Linked DNA regions of Xenopus tropicalis. The protein of the gene in region 1 purifies or fractionates together with the protein of each later gene. This does not show direct contact. Links are inferred from orthologs where the notes say so. Each region holds a gene or a part of one and is shown in the gene's direction. Other genes may lie near its edges. The genes, in order: scap, srebf2, srebf1 and insig1.

What was found.
Region 2: the proteins of scap (region 1) and srebf2 purify together in Homo sapiens (affinity purification with western blotting; 3 studies listed by BioGRID and IntAct, with this or other methods). This does not show direct contact. The link is inferred for Xenopus tropicalis from reciprocal best matches to the Homo sapiens genes SCAP and SREBF2.
Region 3: the proteins of scap (region 1) and srebf1 purify together in Homo sapiens (affinity purification with western blotting; 4 studies listed by BioGRID and IntAct, with this or other methods). This does not show direct contact. The link is inferred for Xenopus tropicalis from reciprocal best matches to the Homo sapiens genes SCAP and SREBF1.
Region 4: the proteins of scap (region 1) and insig1 purify together in Homo sapiens (affinity purification with western blotting; 11 studies listed by BioGRID and IntAct, with this or other methods). This does not show direct contact. The link is inferred for Xenopus tropicalis from reciprocal best matches to the Homo sapiens genes SCAP and INSIG1.

Annotation. Positions count from the first base shown.
Region 1 is NC_030682.2:6,968,237-6,972,108, forward strand, and holds part of scap (sterol regulatory element-binding protein cleavage-activating protein), read left to right. Parts: intron 1-803; coding exon 804-1,016; intron 1,017-1,516; coding exon 1,517-1,959; intron 1,960-2,937; coding exon 2,938-3,144; intron 3,145-3,858; coding exon 3,859-3,872. UniProt on the Homo sapiens protein: Escort protein required for cholesterol as well as lipid homeostasis.
Region 2 is NC_030680.2:120,124,174-120,128,844, forward strand, and holds the start of srebf2 (sterol regulatory element-binding protein 2), read left to right. Parts: upstream 1-1,531; 5' UTR 1,532-1,678; coding exon 1,679-1,751; intron 1,752-4,671.
Region 3 is NC_030685.2:15,370,457-15,374,945, forward strand, and holds the start of srebf1 (sterol regulatory element-binding protein 1), read left to right. Parts: upstream 1-1,509; 5' UTR 1,510-1,719; coding exon 1,720-1,825; intron 1,826-4,489.
Region 4 is NC_030682.2:16,642,274-16,646,145, forward strand, and holds part of insig1 (insulin-induced gene 1 protein), read left to right. Parts: intron 1-602; coding exon 603-702; intron 703-3,872. UniProt on the Homo sapiens protein: Oxysterol-binding protein that mediates feedback control of cholesterol synthesis by controlling both endoplasmic reticulum to Golgi transport of SCAP and degradation of HMGCR.

The DNA of each region.
Region 1 (3,872 bases):
CCCTATCCCTAACCCTATGCCTATCCCTAACCCTAGCCCTAACCCTAACCCTAGCCCTAACCCTAGCCCTAACCCTAGCCCTTAGCCCTAACCCTATCCCTAACCTTATCCCTAACCCTATCCCTAGCCCTAACCTTATGCCTAGCCCTATCCCTAACCCTAGCCCTAGCCCTAACCCTAACCCTAGCCCTAACCCTAGCCCTAACCCTAGCCCTAACCTTATCCCTAACCCTATCCCTAGCCCTAACCCTATCCCTAGCCCTTAGCCCTAACCCTAGCCCTAGCCCTATCTCTAACCCTAGCCCTAACCCTATCTCTAACCCTATCCCTAGCCCTTAGCCCTAACCCTAGCCCTTAGCCCTAACCCTATCCCTAACCCTATCCCTAGCCCTAACCTTATGCCTAGCCCTAACCCTAGCCCTAACCCTAGCCCTAACCCTAGCCCTATCTCTAACCCTAGCCCTAACCCTAGCCCTAACCCTAGCCCTAGCCCTAACCCTAGCCCTAACCCTAACCCTAGCCCTAACCCTAGCCCTAACCCTAGCCCTAACCCTTGCCCTAACCCTTGCCCTAACCCTTGCCCTAACCCTTGCCCTAACCCTTGCCCTAACCCTTGCCCTAACCCTTGCCCTAACCCTTGCCCTATCCCTAACCCTAGCCTTAACCCTATTCCTAGCCCTAACCCTGTGTAACACCCTCTATTGGGGCTCACTAGGAACAAACTGTCAATACCAAAACAGGACAGTGCAGACTGGAGCAGAATAGCTACATTCTGGCATTTGATAACGTCTGTTTGCTTGCAGTTGGCCGACCTGAACAAACGGATGCCAGCAGAGGCCTGCATGCCTCCCCCCAAACCCGGCGCCAAAAGATACGAACGCCAGCCAGCCCTGCGTCCGGCCACCCCTCATACCATCACCCTCCAGCCTTCTTCCTTGCGAAATCTGCGCCTCCCCAAGAGACTGCGCCTGGTGTACTTCTTTGCCAGGACTCGACTCGCTCAGAGAATCATCATGGTAAGAACATAATATAATGCAGGCACTGGCAAACTGGGCAACAATGGCCGGACTGGGAGTCAAAATAGGCCCCGGAATTCCAAATACACAGAGGCCCAAACGGCCCCCCCAGCAGCCCAATAAACAGTGAGAGTCTAGGGCATCTTACAGAACCCACAGATTGCCATTCCGGGCCTGCTGGGCATGTTACTGCATGTCGGCTAAATACATGGGCAAGTTCTTAGGAAGCTGGATAAGGCTTCAAGGTCCAAGTGCAGATTGTAGTGACAGAGCCACAGTGTTCCCTATGTGCCCAGCTCATTCACAAGCATCCCCTGTGAAGGACACGCTGATAAAGAGCTGTAACTGGTTTGAATCCAAGGTCTGCAATAGCCTGGGTTTTTTCTAAGCTACATGCAGAAGTGTTAGTGACTCCCAGGCAGGAGGATGTGCTGTTATCCCACTGGGCAGTGGCCCCTGGTCAGTCACAGCCAGTTTAACTTTTCCTGTTTGCTCTACAGGCTGGGACGGTGGTCTGGATTGGGATCCTTGTATACACGGACCCCGCTGGGCTGCGCAATTACTTAACGGTTCAGGTGACGGAGCAGAGCCCCCTGGGAGGCGCAGTCATGCCTCCGGTTCCGGTACCAGTGCTGCCAGCATCCAACCCACAGAGCCCCCTCGCCGCCGTCTTCCCCACAGGCTCCTCCCAACTGCTGGAAAACCAGTCACAGAGAGACCGCAAGGAGGTGATCGACTCCCTGAGAGGGAGGCTGGATGGCAGCTCCAGGGTTTGGGAAGAAAGTCTCCCTGAAGACAAGGGCAGAGAGCGAGCGGCGGGTAAAGAGGACAAAGCCCATACGCAGGTTACCTGGGGACCCGAGGATGAGGAGACCTGGAGGAAGCTGTCATTCAGACATTGGCCAACCCTCTTCAGCTACTACAATATCACTCTGGCCAAAAAGTATGGGGCAACTTCTTGTACAAAAATATAGCAAACTGTACCTTCTTGCAGGTCCGATGGCAGTAACCATATCCGACTGTGCCATAAAGCGTACAGCACGGGGCTGCAAGTTCTACGGGAGGGGCACAGAACATGGCTTTTATTTGGTTTCATACAGTTATGGGATCCATTATCCAGAAACCTGTTATCCAAAAAGCTCTGAACTATGGGAAAGCCATCTACCTAAAGGTGGCCATACACTGTAAGATCTGCTCGTTTGGCGAGGTCATCAAGCGAGTGGATCTTCTCCCGATATGCCCACCTACAGGTGGCGATATCGGGCTAGCGCTGTCGGTTCAGGGACTGTATCAACGAGCCGATGTGTTCCCCGATCCGACGGAAAAATCAAACCTGCCCAATCAAGATCTGCCCAATTTCAGGCCATATGTTAGTCAAGGAGGCCCGTCGGTGGTGCCCATACATGAACAGATAAGCTGCCGAATCGGTTTAACCCAAATCTGCCCGTGTATGGCCTCCTTCAGTCTCCAAAAAGATTTCCTTTTTCTCTATAATAATAATACAGAGCCTTGTACATGGCCCTATCTAAGATATAATAATCCTTTAGTTTGTTTTGATGCAAGTTACAGAAAGACCCCTTATCTGGACAACCCCTGGCCCCAAGCATTCTGACTAACAGGTCCCATAGCTGTATTATCATACTGATTGTCTGGCTGAGACATATTTTCCTTCTTTTCCTGCACATATTACAGCACGAATCATGAATATAAGGAATGCTCAGAAGAGCTAAGCAATATGGCAACCCCCACTTTTGCACAAATGCAACTAGCCAGTAATATTTATTGGTGCATTGGCTGTATAGAGAGAATGGCTTCCATATGTATAAAGCACTGGGTCTGTGATGTTTTGTGCCACTGTAGCAGGTTAGGGAATTGCTTTATTCTGTAATGAGGCTCATGTAGAAATGTATTAATCTCCTAGGTACATCAGCATCTTACCCATGATTCCCGTCACCATCTACCTGACGCCACAGGAGGTGTCCGACGCACGGCACCCACAGGAGGCTCAGCACTCGCACCCATATCTGCAGCGGGAAGGGAAGCCAGAAGAAGCCTGGGTTCGCGTAGAGGCAAAGGGGGCTGAAGAGGCCGCCAAAAATCAGATGCCAGCAGATGTCACCTTATACAAGTAGGAACTGCCGGGCTCTTACTGCCATTTGCCTTCCTCTTAAAAGGGGTTTGTCCACCTTTGAGTTAACTTTTAGAATGGTGTATAGAGTAATATCCTGAGACAATTTGCAGTTGGTCTTAATTTTTCATTATTTTTATTATTTCAGTATTTGTTCGGCAGTTCTCCAGCTTTGGAGTTTCGGCAGCTATTTGGTTGCTAGGTTCCAAATTACCTTAACAACCAGGGTGTGGTTTGAATGAAAAACTGATATAGGAATAGGAGAGGGGCTATTCCTGGGAAAGGGTTGTTCGACCCCCAAAGGGGTCCCGACCCACAGGTTGAGAACCGCTGAGTCAGACGAAGAAGGCAAATAATTAAAAAAACGATAAAGAACAAATAATGAAGAATGAAAAGTTGCTTCTATAACATACCCCCTATTAAATATTATTTTACAGGCTTCCTAAAGGCACACACTCCCTTTTTGGTGATTCGCTGATATAAATATTGGGTATATTATGATATATTTTTAACCCAACCCATAACTTCCTATCAATATTGATTAATACATTTCATAAGGCGGAGCTTGGAAAGCCCTTGGAAAACAGCATTGCTGCAAAGGTTCTAGACAAACCAGCCCCGTCTGTATTATCCCTTCCCCCCAGATCATTGTTGCTCTGTTAGCTGGTGTAGGAATGGCCGCTCACAGACTCACATCTCGCACTTTCTCCTTAGGGTCGCTGCCTTAG
Region 2 (4,671 bases), on another chromosome or scaffold:
TGGCACTTTCACCAAAGAAATATTTCCAAAATACGATCATTTAGCACCCAAGATGCTGCCAAAATTCTTATTCACTCTCTTATCATATCTCGCCTGGACTAGTGTAACTCTCTGCTTATTGGCCTTCCCCTTCAGAGACTGTCCCCTCTCCAGTCCATAATGAATACTGCTGCCAGGCTCATACACCTCTCCAACCCCTCCTGCTCTGCCGTGCCACTCTGCCAATCCCTGCACTGGCTTCCCCTACCATCCAGGATAAAATTTAAACTAAGTCAGCTCAGTGGCAGACACATGGAGCAGATTTTGGCACTAAAATACGTAAGTATTTCTGCAACAAAATATACAAATATCCGTGTTGAACTTTAGTTCTGTTCCTGAGTACTTGCACTCACTTATAAGCAGTTCCATTCTGTGGGGCCCAATGTTTTTTTACCTCATGAGGCAACATTGGGCGACTACTACTTCTTACTACTACATTCTCACTGGCAGGAAAGCATTCAAGGAGATTAGTTGCCACAGTTAAGGCCCCCATACACGGGCCGATAGAAGCTGCCGATATCTGTCCCTTGGACCGATTCGGCAGCTAATCGGCCCGTGTATGGGCAGAAACGAGCGGCCTGGCCGACCTATATCTTGCCTGAAATTGGCCAGATATCGATCGGCCAGGTTAGAAAATCCAGTCGGATCGGGGACCGCATTGGCTCGTTGATGCGGTCCCCGAACCGACTGCCCCATGGCCGCAACTGTAATCCGATCGTTTGGCTTTTTTTTTTTTTTTTTTTAAAGCAACTTGCTACCCGATATCGCCCTCCCGTAGGTGGGGATATTGGGTAAAGATCCGCTCGCTTGGCGATGATCTTATAGTGTATGGGGACCTTTAGTTGAGATCAATTGCAGGGCAACTAATCTCATGTCACTTGCCCAAGACACAGTCCAGAATGAGCACTCACATAACTGCACCAATACAGCACAGGTTTTTCATTCTATTATAACATATAGTACAATATTATTTCACTTCCTTAACAGCTTGTCTAATAACATTTCCTTATTAGCTAGTTGCACCTTTCACAACGAAACTAAATTACTCCTTTATTTTCTTCTTAAAACCCAAAGAACTGAATAAGTAACACTACAGCGGCGTTTCTCTTGCTAACACCGTCCCTTTTTATTTCATGGGCTTCCCAGCAGCAGCAGAGCAGTGGCAACACCTCACTGAATGTCCCCCGTAGGCGTGCTCCTAAATAAACCACACAAGGCGGGCCCCTATGCAAATACAACATCCCCTGATCACTGACGTCGTATCACACCACAGCTTGTCAAGCTCGCTCATTCGTCCGGGGCGTCTGGTCTCATTGACAACAAAACATCCAGCACGCGTTTGTACAAGGCAAAGAGGCGGGGCATTCCGCTTACTCCCGCGTCAGGCGGCCCAGTTCTGTCAGGGTGGGGGAGGGGCGGGGTGCGTTTCACGCCTCTTTGTGGATCCATTCTGGGCTTCTAACCATGGCACTGAAACGAGGTTTGGAAGACATAGGATTGACGTCATGTAGTGTGGAGGGAGGTGGTGCCCAAACATGGCGTCAGTTTTGTCAGTGACAGGTTCGTGAGGTTCAGTAATAGGGAACCAAGAACCGGCTCCTTTCGGGAGCGCTAGGGTTGTCACAGCCCGGGATATCATATGGAACTAAACATGGAAAATATGGAGACGCTGACGGAACTCGGAGATGAGCTCACCCTAGGGGATATTGACGGTAAGAGTGGAACTGAACGGATCTTTCTGCAGGGGGGTGCGGCTCGAAAACATTTCTGTAGTTTGGGAAATAGTAACAGCGTAGCTAGCCTGCTGCTGTCAAAGAGGGGTTGCTGGGAGTTGTAGTTTTACACAGCTCTAGCGGTTTAGGGGACTAGCCGTGTCATTCCTGATATCCAGTACTTTTTGTCCTTATGTTGGGCCCCCATTTCATTGCAGTGTGTGGAATCCATTGAGTAATCACGCCTTTTCTGAGAATATGATTACAAATTCCAGAAGGAAATAATTCATCATTAACTTGTTAGGGTTGTGTTGGCTGTGTTGTTATATACCTTGTTATATACCTTGCCGGATTAAGGTTAGTTACAGGCATTGCGCCTGGTCTGGGCCACTTGGGCTGGAAAGGTTTGGGGGGGAAGGAGATGCAAGTCTATGTAGGACTGTATATTTACTGTATATTTACTGCATTGATGCTTTAATGGCTAGGGCATCTGTACCATATATATATATATAATATAGCAAGAACAAACGGAGCACACCCTATAGAAGTTCAAATGCCCAGGGTGCTAGCAAAAAATATAAAGCAAGAAAGTAAGCTGCACACACCAGGACTTGACAAAAAATAAATTTATTTAAGAAAAGAGATCCAACGTTTCGAGCACTCACTGTGCTCTTCCTCAGGGAAAAAAAAGCTACATCCATAACTGAGTAGCTGCTTTTATCCTATGTCCATACACTCTTTTCTTCTATTAGATTGTATTTGTGGGTAAAGGTTCTGCTTTCCTGTGACCTGTCCTTTTCTAGCATTCTGTGTGATTTGGGTATTTTATTTTAATTAATTTCCCAAACCAAGAAGGCTGACCTGTTTATGTAGGTTGCTAAGTATTACGTAACCACCCCCTTTTCCTCCTGCTTTACTCTGAGATGAAGATCATTTGCATCTGAAACCTAATGACGTTTGTCATTTGCTCATAATGAATTTAGTTTCTGGACATGAATTGGACTAAAATGTCACATTTTGTTATAAAGGCAACAAATCAGTTAAGCAAAAGTGCCAATCATCTTGCATTCTTTATAATAGAATGCCTTACCGTCCCCTAGATTTATAGCCTTCATTTCAGGCTTAAGCAACAGGGATAGCAGCTGCTGGTGTTTGAGGAATAAGCATCATGACTGATACCCAGTTTCAGTATATGTGTGTGGTACCTTGTCTTTCCAAAGTATTTAATGGAGTCCTAAAAAGATTTTACTGCAGGTCCAATAACAATGTATTTTTCTGCTGAAAACATAAATCAAGTGCTGTTTAGATATAGAGTTAAACAAAGCTTGGGTCTCAGTATTTTACTGCACTTACCTTGATGTTTGGTTGGTTTTTAGGGCAGGTGATGCTGAAGTCTATGGGGCTGATTCACTAATCCACAAATCCGAATCCCGAATGGGAAAAAATCGGATTGGAAACAAACATTTTGCGATTTTTCGTAAATTGTTGCGACTTTTTCGTAGCCATTACGACTTGCTCGTAAATTGTCGCAACTTTTTCATAGCCATTACGACTTGCTCGTATATTGTCGTGACTTTTTCGTATTGAGCGCTCGTAAACGGCGGGCAAACCTTTGCGACTTTGCATGATTTTGGAAGCCTCCCATAGGACTCAATGGCACTCTGCAGCTCCAACCTGGCCCAAGGAAAGTCACCCATAGGGCTCAATGGCACTCTGCAGCTCCAACCCAGCCCAAGGAAAGTCTCCCATAGGGCTCAATGGCACTCTGCAGCTCCAACCTGGCCCAAGGAAAGTCACCCATAGGGCTCAATGGCACTCTGCAGCTCCAACCTGGCCCAAGGAAAGTCACCCATAGGGCTCAATGGCACTCTGCAGCTCCAACCCAGCCCAAGGAAAGTCTCCCATAGGGCTCAATGGCACTCTGCAGCTCCAACCTGGCCCAAGGAAAGTCACCCATAGGGCTCAATGGCACTCTGCAGCTCCAACCTGGCCCAAGGAAAGTCTCCCATAGGGCTCAATGGCACTCTGCAGCTCCAACCTGTCCCAAGGAAAGTCTCCCATAGGGCTCAATGGCACTCTGCAGCTCCAACCCAGCCCAAGGAATGTCTCCCATAGGGCTCAATGGCACTCTGCAGCTCCAACCTGGCCCAAGGAAAGTCTCCCATAGTGCTCAATGGCACTCTGCAGCTCCAACCCGGCCCAAGGAAAGTCTCCCATAGGGCTCAACGGCACTCTGCAGCTCCAACCCGGCCCAAGGAAAGTCACGATACTGAAGCTTGAATGATTCCGAAACTTTCATACTCGGCACGACGGCTACGAAAAAGTCGCTACAATTTACGAGCAAGTAGTAATGGCTACGAAAAAGTCGCGACAATTTACGAGCAAGTCGTAATGGCTACGAAAAAGTCGCGTCAATTTACGAAAAAATCGCGAAATACCGACCATTACAAAAAAAACACGTTCGGGCGCTTTTCGGACGTTCGTGGATAGGTAAATGTGCCCCTATGTATTAACACTGAAAGCAGATATGCAGTGGATAGAAATAAATACAGGCAAAGAACAGAAATTGTTTTTGTGCATGTGTGTTATTTCCCCTGTATTTTTAGATGTGACATGCAAAGTGGTGTTTGCATTTGACTACTGTTAAGATGGGTATATTGAATTGTAATAATTCATAATAGGATATAAATACAATTTAGTTAAAGTAAAAGCATGGTATGTTATGAAAAAATGCACAATGGCTTAGAGGGAAATTGCACTCAGACATGTTCCCTCACTTTTCTTTTTATTTGCAAAAATATACGTTTTAAAATCATTTTGTTTTCCTGTAGCAGCCCTACAAGCTAGGTCACTAGTTTTCTAGACAGTTACAGTTTGATACATAAGTGAATAGTCAATACCTTTCTGTCACAGGGTTAAA
Region 3 (4,489 bases), on another chromosome or scaffold:
ACAGAGGGGGAAACAGAGGGGAAACAGAGGGGGTACAGAGGGGGAAACAGAGGGGAAACAGAGGGGGGTACAGAGGGGGAAACAGAGGGGGAAACAGAGGGGAAACAGAGGGGGGTACAGAGGGGAAACAGAGGGGGGTACAGAGGGGGAAACAGAGCGGAGTACAGAGGGGGAAACAGAGGGGGGTACAGCGGGGGAAACAGAGGGGGGTACAGAGGGGGAAACAGAGGGGGGTACAGAGGGGGAAACAGAGCGGAGTACAGAGGGGGAAACAGAGGGGTACAGAGGGGGAAACAGAGGGGGTACAGAGGGGGAAACAGAGGGGGTACAGAGGGGGGTACAGAGGGGGAAACAGAGGGGGTACAGAGGGGGGTACAGAGAGGAAACAGAGGGGGAAACAGAGGGGGGTACAGAGGGGGAAACAGAGGGGGGTACAGAGAGGAAACAGAGGGGGGTACAGAGAGGAAACAGAGGGGGTACAGAGGGGGAAACAGAGCGGAGTACAGAGGGGGAAACAGAGGGGGTACAGAGGGGGAAACAGAGCGGAGTACAGAGGGGGAAACAGAGGGGGAAACAGAGGGGGGTACAGAGGGGGAAACAGAGGGGGGTACAGAGGGGGAAACAGAGGGGGTACAGAGGGGGAAACAGAGCGGAGTACAGAGGGGGAAACAGAGGGGGTACAGAGGGGGAAACAGAGCGGAGTACAGAGGGGGAAACAGAGGGGGTACAGAGGGGGAAACAGAGGGGGTACAGAGGGGGGTACAGAGGGGGAAACAGAGGGGGGTACAGAGGGGAAACAGAGGGGGGTACAGAGAGGAAACAGAGGGGGGTACAGAGGGGAAACAGAGGGGGGTACAGAGGGGGTACAGAGGGGAAACAGAGGGGGGTACAGAGAGGAAACAGAGGGGGAAACAGAGCGGAGTACAGAGGGGGAAACAGAGGGGGTACAGAGGGGGAAACAGAGGGGGGTACAGAGGGGGAAACAGAGGGGGGTACAGAGGGGGAAACAGAGGGGGTACAGAGGGGGAAACAGAGGGGGGTACAGAGGGGAAACAGAGGGGGGTACAGAGAGGAAACAGAGGGGGAAACAGAGGGGGGTACAGAGGGGAAACAGAGGGGGGTACAGAGGGGGAAACAGAGGGGGGTACAGAGGGGGAAACAGAGGGGGTACAGAGGGGAAACAGAGGGGGGTACAGAGGGGGGTACAGAGGGGAAACAGAGGGGGGTACAGAGAGGAAACAGAGGGGGGTACAGAGAGGAAACAGAGGGGGTACAGAGGGGAAACAGAGGGGGGTACAGAGGGGAAACAGAGGGGGGCGGGAAATAAAAAGTGTGTGAGTGCCATCAAAATATGTAGCTGAAGCTGAGGACTTTGCCATTTGCCCTGACAGTTTAGAGGTTAATTAACCCTTTCGCTCCTTTACAAAGGCAGTAAAGCGCTAGCAGGATGCAGGGGAAGGATGAGGGCGTGTCCCACGCTGTAGGGGGTGGGCATTTGGGGGCGGGCTCTCCCTGGCAGGTCCCGCCTCCTCCTCCCCAGTCGGTAGCAGGTTAGAGCTGCAGTTCTACTGAACTTCCCTACTGGTATCTAATGCAGGTATGGGGACCCTGTAATACTGCAGCCACTCCCAAGGGAAACATTGCTACCTTCCCTGGATCCCCCCACTTGCCCATGGCCAGCAGCCCTGCCTAAGGAGGAAGAGGGGAAGCAGCAGCAGCATGGCCAGCCTGGGGTACGATGACAGCTCTCTGGAGGAGTTGGACCCTTCTCTGTCCCTCCAGGAGACCAGTGACATTGACTCCATGCTGCTGAATGACATTGATGGTGAGTAACACTTGGGGGTGGGGGGAGAAAACGCAGCAGAAACTACAGCTCTCAAAGGGTGATGGGGGTTGTAGTACAACATCAGCACTGGGTTAAGTCTTCTCTTTGGCTTGTGGGGAGGGGGTTGGTAAAGAAGCATGTGACACTGTCATAGGGAAGAAACTGGGGGGAGGAAGGGATATTGGCCCCCATAGAGCTAATGGTTTAATGTTGTTAATTAAGGAAAGTAGGGAATAGGTTTCTAATTCTCCAGAGCATTGAACCTGCCCCCTCTCCCATAAATACCCCATCTTAAATGGGGGCAAATGGCTGCCCTCTTATGCCTTATTGACATTCTGATGCAACTCTTATTTGCCCAGCTGCCCCATGTGCTGCACTTCCTCTCAGCTCCTGTGGGTTACTAGGGCACTTGCCTCATTGCCCCGCCCCCTGCCTGACATCACCGCAGGGTTACTGTCGGGCATTGCCTGGCTTGTTTGTGCTGGGACATACAGGAGTGACAGGGGGCGTGCGTGTGTCTCTCTTATTATAGCACTGTCTATATTATTATTATTACATACAGACGTAATAATAGCACCAACATATGCCTCAGCGCTGCACCTCTACAGACAAAATCAAATAGTAATGAAGTCCCTGCCCCTACTGTACTTTTTACTGTACAGGTATGGGACCCGTTATCCAGAATGCTTGGGACCTGAGGTTTTCTGGATCAGGGGACTTTCCGTAATTCGGATCGCCTACCTTAAGTCTGCTAATAAAATTATTTAAACGGTAATTAAACCCAATAGGATTATTTTGCCTCCAATAAGGATTAGTTATATCTTAGTTGGGATCAAGTACAGGTACTGTTTTATTATTACAGAGAAAAGGGAATCATTTAACCATGAAATAAACCCAATAGGGCTGTTCTGTCCCCAATAAGGGGTAATTATATCTTAGTTGGGATCAAGTACAGGTACTGTTTTATTATTACAGAGAAAAGGGAATCATTTAACCATTAAATAAACCCAATAGGGCTGTTCTGCCCCAATAAGGGGTAATTATATCTTAGTTGGGATCAAGTACAGGTACTGTTTTATTATTACAGAGAAAAGGGAATCATTTAACCATTAAATAAACCCAATAGGGCTGTTCTGCCCCCAATAAGGGGTAATTATATCTTAGTTGGGATCAAGTACAGGTACTGTTTTATTATTACAGAGAAAAGGGAATCATTTAACCATTAAATAAACCCAATAGGGCTGTTCTGCCCCAATAAGGGGTAATTATATCTTAGTTGGGATCAAGTACAGGTACTGTTTTATTATTACAGAGAAAAGGGAATCATTTAACCATTAAATAAACCCAATAGGGCTGTTCTGCCCCCAATAAGGGGTAATTATATCTTAGTTGGGATCAAGTACAGGTACTGTTTTATTATTACAGAGAAAAGGGAATCATTTAACCATTAAATAAACCCAATAGGGCTGTTCTGCCCCAATAAGGGGTAATTATATCTTAGTTGGGATCAAGTACAGGTACTGTTTTATTATTACAGAGAAAAGGGAATCATTTAACCATTAAATAAACCCAATAGGGCTGTTCTGCCCCAATAAGGGGTAATTATATCTTAGTTGGGATCAAGTACAGGTACTGTTTTATTATTACAGAGAAAAGGGAATCATTTAACCATGAAATAAACCCAATAGGACTGTTCTGCCCCAATAAGGGGTAATTATATCTTAGTTGGGATCAAGTACAGGTACTGTTTTATTATTACAGAGAAAAGGGAATCATTTAACCATTAAATAAACCCAATAGGGCTGTTCTGCCCCAATAAGGGGTAATTATATCTTAGTTGGGATCAAGTACAGGTACTGTTTTATTATTACAGAGAAAAGGGAATCATTTAACCATGAAATAAACCCAATAGGACTGTTCTGCCCCAATAAGGGGTAATTATATCTTAGTTGGGATCAAGTACAGGTACTGTTTTATTATTACAGAGAAAAGGGAATCATTTAACCATGAAATAAACCCAATAGGGCTGTTCTGCCCCCAATAAGGGTAATTAAATCTTAGTTGGGATCAAGTACAAGGTACTGTTTTCTTATTAGAGAGAAAAAGGAAACCATTTTTAAAAATGTGAATTATTTGATTAAAATGGAGTCTATGGGAGACGGCCTTTCTGCAATTTTCTGTATAATGGGTTTCCTGATAAGGGGTCCGATACCTGTAGCTAGTGTGCATTATAGGTATGGTGGCCTGGGTGGCAGGCTATGCACAGGGCGCAGTATTCGGAGTGGTAGCAACACCCAGAAATTTACTTTAATAAGGGTCCGAAGGTTCAACATCACCCTCATTTATGTGTGCCATCTGCTTAATGATTTGGGGGTCATAACATATAGAGTATTCTTATGTAATTAGATGGAATCCATACCACACAAGCACATCAACATGTTGGCTGCCGCCATCTTTAGCAAAGGACGTTTATATAACATGCATGAGTGCGGGCTGCATAGATTTCAGAGTAGCCGTGCACACAGGATTTTTTAGTTATTGTATATAAAGCTGATATAAAATATATGTACAAAAGCAGGGTTTCTGTTGGTCTCTGTTTTTATATAAACTGTATGTTTTAATACATTGATGACAAGTGTGTTTCCCATAAATACTTGTTAATTA
Region 4 (3,872 bases), about 9.7 Mb from region 1:
CATAGCAAACGTTTTAGAGGGACTTTTGTTTCAGAGAGGCAAGTTAAAGGGGTGGTTCACCTTTAATAAACTTTTAGTATCTTATAAAATGCCCTATTCCTAGCAACTTTGCAGTTGGTCTTAATTGTTTTTTATAGTTTTTGAATTATTTTGCTTCCTCTTCTGTCTCTTTCCAGCTTTAAAATGGGGTCGCTGACCCCTGCAGCAAAAATACAATTGCTCTGTGAGGCTACGATATCATTGTTATTGTTGCTTTGCATCACTTATCTTTCTATTCAGACCTTTTTCTATTCATTTTTCCAACTTTTGTCCAAACCACTGTCTGGTTGCTAGGGTAATTTGCCCCATTGCAACCAGATAGCTGCAGCATTACCACCCTGGACAAGTGTTAAACAAAAAAACTAAATAACTGAAGAGGTGAACTATCACTTTCACCCTTTGATAAATACGCTTTTAAAAATCCCATAGGAATGAATAGAAAGTGGATGAGTTCTAATCTTGTATATTGGAATAGCTCTGCAATACGTATTTTCACAGGATGTGCTCTTTTTTTTTTTTTTATACGGTACATGAATTAATGACCTTATTTTTGCTTACATTAGGTACACCTCCCCAGACTTCCTGTACATTAGATCATGGCTGCCTTGTATCTTTTTCTCGGGAGGAGTGACTGTCGGGAACATAGGAAGGCAATTAGCAATGGTAAGTGAACACTAGGGATGTGCGGGCCGGCCCTAAGCCCGTGGGTCGGATGGGTTTGGGACTGACTTCCACACGTCAGAAACTGGTCGAGGACGGGTTAGGGCCAAGGTCTTCTACCTCCCTCAGTACCAGCAATGTAACTGAGCCCTGCTTCAGGCTCTAGCAGCGTCTATTTATAGGTTCATACCTGCCCCGCACTCTCCATGATGTCAGAGATGGGGAGGGTCATGCGCTGCAGTCACAAAGCAGGTTGGGTCGGATTTAGAAGGGGCAGGTTAGGTTCAGGTGCGGGTTGACTATTGGTTGACCTGCACATCATTATTGAACACCCTTCTTATATCCAGAATTCCAGATTTGGATCAGAATTTGGACAAATCGAAGCCTTTTCCAGCACAATTCAGATTCGGAACCCTTAGGGGGTGATGTAATAAAAGGCCCTGCATTTGCCCAGGAGCAGTAACCCATAGCAACCAGTCAGCAGGTAGAATTTACTGGTCACCTGTTAAAAAGCAAACATCTTATTGGTTGCTGTGGCTTATTGCACCAGGGCAATCTTAGTGCCTTTTATTACATATGGGGGTTAGTATATTATAGAATGCCCTATTCTTAGCAACTTTGCATTCAGTTTCCATTATTTTTTTTTTTTATAATTTGAGTTTTTTGCCGCCTCTTCCCAGCTTTCAAATGGGGGTCGCTGACCCTGGCAGCTAAAAGTTATTGCTCTGTGAGGCTACAATTTTGCTGCTTTTTGTTCCTTATCTTTCTAATCGGCCCCTTTTTTATTGATATTCCCATCTCTCATTCAAACCACTGCCTGGAAGGGTAATTCAAACCCGGATAGCCGCTGAGCAAAAAGTAAAATAACCAGAAAAAACATTTAAAAAAAACAACTTTGCAAATTCTCAGAATATCAATACATTATACTAGAAGTTAATTTAAAGCTGAACTACCCCTTGGCCCTTTCTTTTCGGACTTCAGTAACTGTAGCAGATGTTCTCTAGATCTGTTAACCAGCTGGCTTCCACATTGTATCAAGAGTTCAAAGCAATTAATGTATATTGGATGGTTGCTGAGAATGCAAAAAAAAAAAAAAGACCCTCCCTGAATCAGTCGTGCTGGCTGATACATTATATAGCTTTAAGAAGGGTCTGGATGGCTTCTTAGCAAGTGAGGGAATACAAGGGTAGGGGGATAGCTCTCAGTACAAGTGAGGGAATACAGGGGTAGGGGGATAGCTCTTAGTACAAGTGAGAGAATACAGGGGTAGGGGGGATAGCTCTCAGTACAAGTGAGGGAATACAGGGGTAGGGGGGATAGCTCTCAGTACAAGTGAGGGAATACAGGGGTAGGGGGGATAGCTCTCAGTACAAGTGAGGGAATACAGGGGTAGGGGAGATAGCTCTTAGTACAAGTGAGGGAATACAGGGGTAGGGGGGATAGCTCTCAGTACAAGTGAGGGAATACAGGGGTAGGGGAGATAGCTCTCAGTACAAGTGAGGGAATACAGGGGTAGGGGAGATAGCTCTCAGTACAAGTGAGTGAATACAGGGGTAGGGGGGATAGCTCTCAGTACAAGTGAGGGAATACAGGGGTAGGGGGGATAGCTCTCAGTACAAGAGAGGGAATACAGGGGTAGGGGGGATAGCTCTCAGTACAAGTGAGGGAATACAGGGGTAGGGGAGATAGCTCTCAGTACAAGTGAGGGAATACAGGGGTAGTGGAGATAGCTCTCAGTACAAGTGAGGGAATACAGGGGTAGGGGAGATAGCTCTCAGTACAAGTGAGTGAATACAGGGGTAGGGGGGATAGCTCTCAGTACAAGTGAGGGAATACAGGGGTAGGGGGGATAGCTCTCAGTACAAGAGAGGGAATACAGGGGTAGGGGGGATAGCTCTCAGTACAAGTGAGGGAATACAGGGGTAGGGGAGATAGCTCTCAGTACAAGTGAGAGAATACAGGGGTAGGGGGGATAGCTCTCAGTACAAGTGAGGGAATACAGGGGTAGGGGAGATAGCTCTCAGTACAAGTGAGGGAATACAGGGGTAGGGGAGATAGATCTTGGCAATCGGACCAGTCCCTGGGGCAACTTGTACTAAGAGCTATCTCCCCTACCCCTGTATTCCCTCACTTGTACTGAGAGCTATCCCCCCTACCCCTGTATTCCCTCACTTGTACTGAGAGCTATCTCCCCTACCCCTGTATTCCCTCACTTGTACTGAGAGCTATCTCCCCTACCCCTGTATTCCCTCACTTGTACTGAGAGCTATCCCCCTACCCCTGTATTCCCTCACTTGTACTGAGAGCTATCTCCCCTACCCCTGTATTCCCTCACTTGTACTGAGAGCTATCTCCCCTACCCCTGTATTCCCTCACTTGTACTGAGAGCTATCTCCCCTACCCCTGTATTCCCTCACTTGTACTGAGAGCTATCTCCCCTACCCCTGTATTCCCTCACTTGTACTGAGAGCTATCTCCCCTACCCCTGTATTCCCTCACTTGTACTGAGAGCTATCCCCCTACCCCTGTATTCCCTCACTTGTACTGAGAGCTATCTCCCCTACCCCTGTATTCCCTCACTTGTACTGAGAGCTATCTCCCCTACCCCTGTATTCCCTCACTTGTACTGAGACCTATCTCCCCTACCCCTGTATTCCCTCACTTGTACTGAGAGCTATCCCCCCTACCCCTGTATTCCCTCACTTGTACTGAGAGCTATCTCCCCTACCCCTGTATTCTCTCACTTGTACTGAGAGCTATCTCCCCTACCCCTGTATTCCCTCACTTGTACTGAGAGCTATCCCCCCTACCCCTGTATTCCCTCTCTTGTACTGAGAGCTATCCCCCCTACCCCTGTATTCCCTCACTTGTACTGAGAGCTATCCCCCCTACCCCTGTATTCACTCACTTGTACTGAGAGCTATCTCCCCTACCCCTGTATTCCCTCACTTGTACTGAGAGCTATCTCCACTACCCCTGTATTCCCTCACTTGTACTGAGAGCTATCTCCCCTACCCCTGTATTCCCTCACTTGTACTGAGAGCTATCCCCCCTACCCCTGTATTCCCTCTCTTGTACTGAGAGCTATCCCCCCTACCCCTGTATTCCCTCACTTGTACTGAGAGCTATCCCCCCTACCCCTGTATTCACTCACTTGTACTGAGAGCTATCTC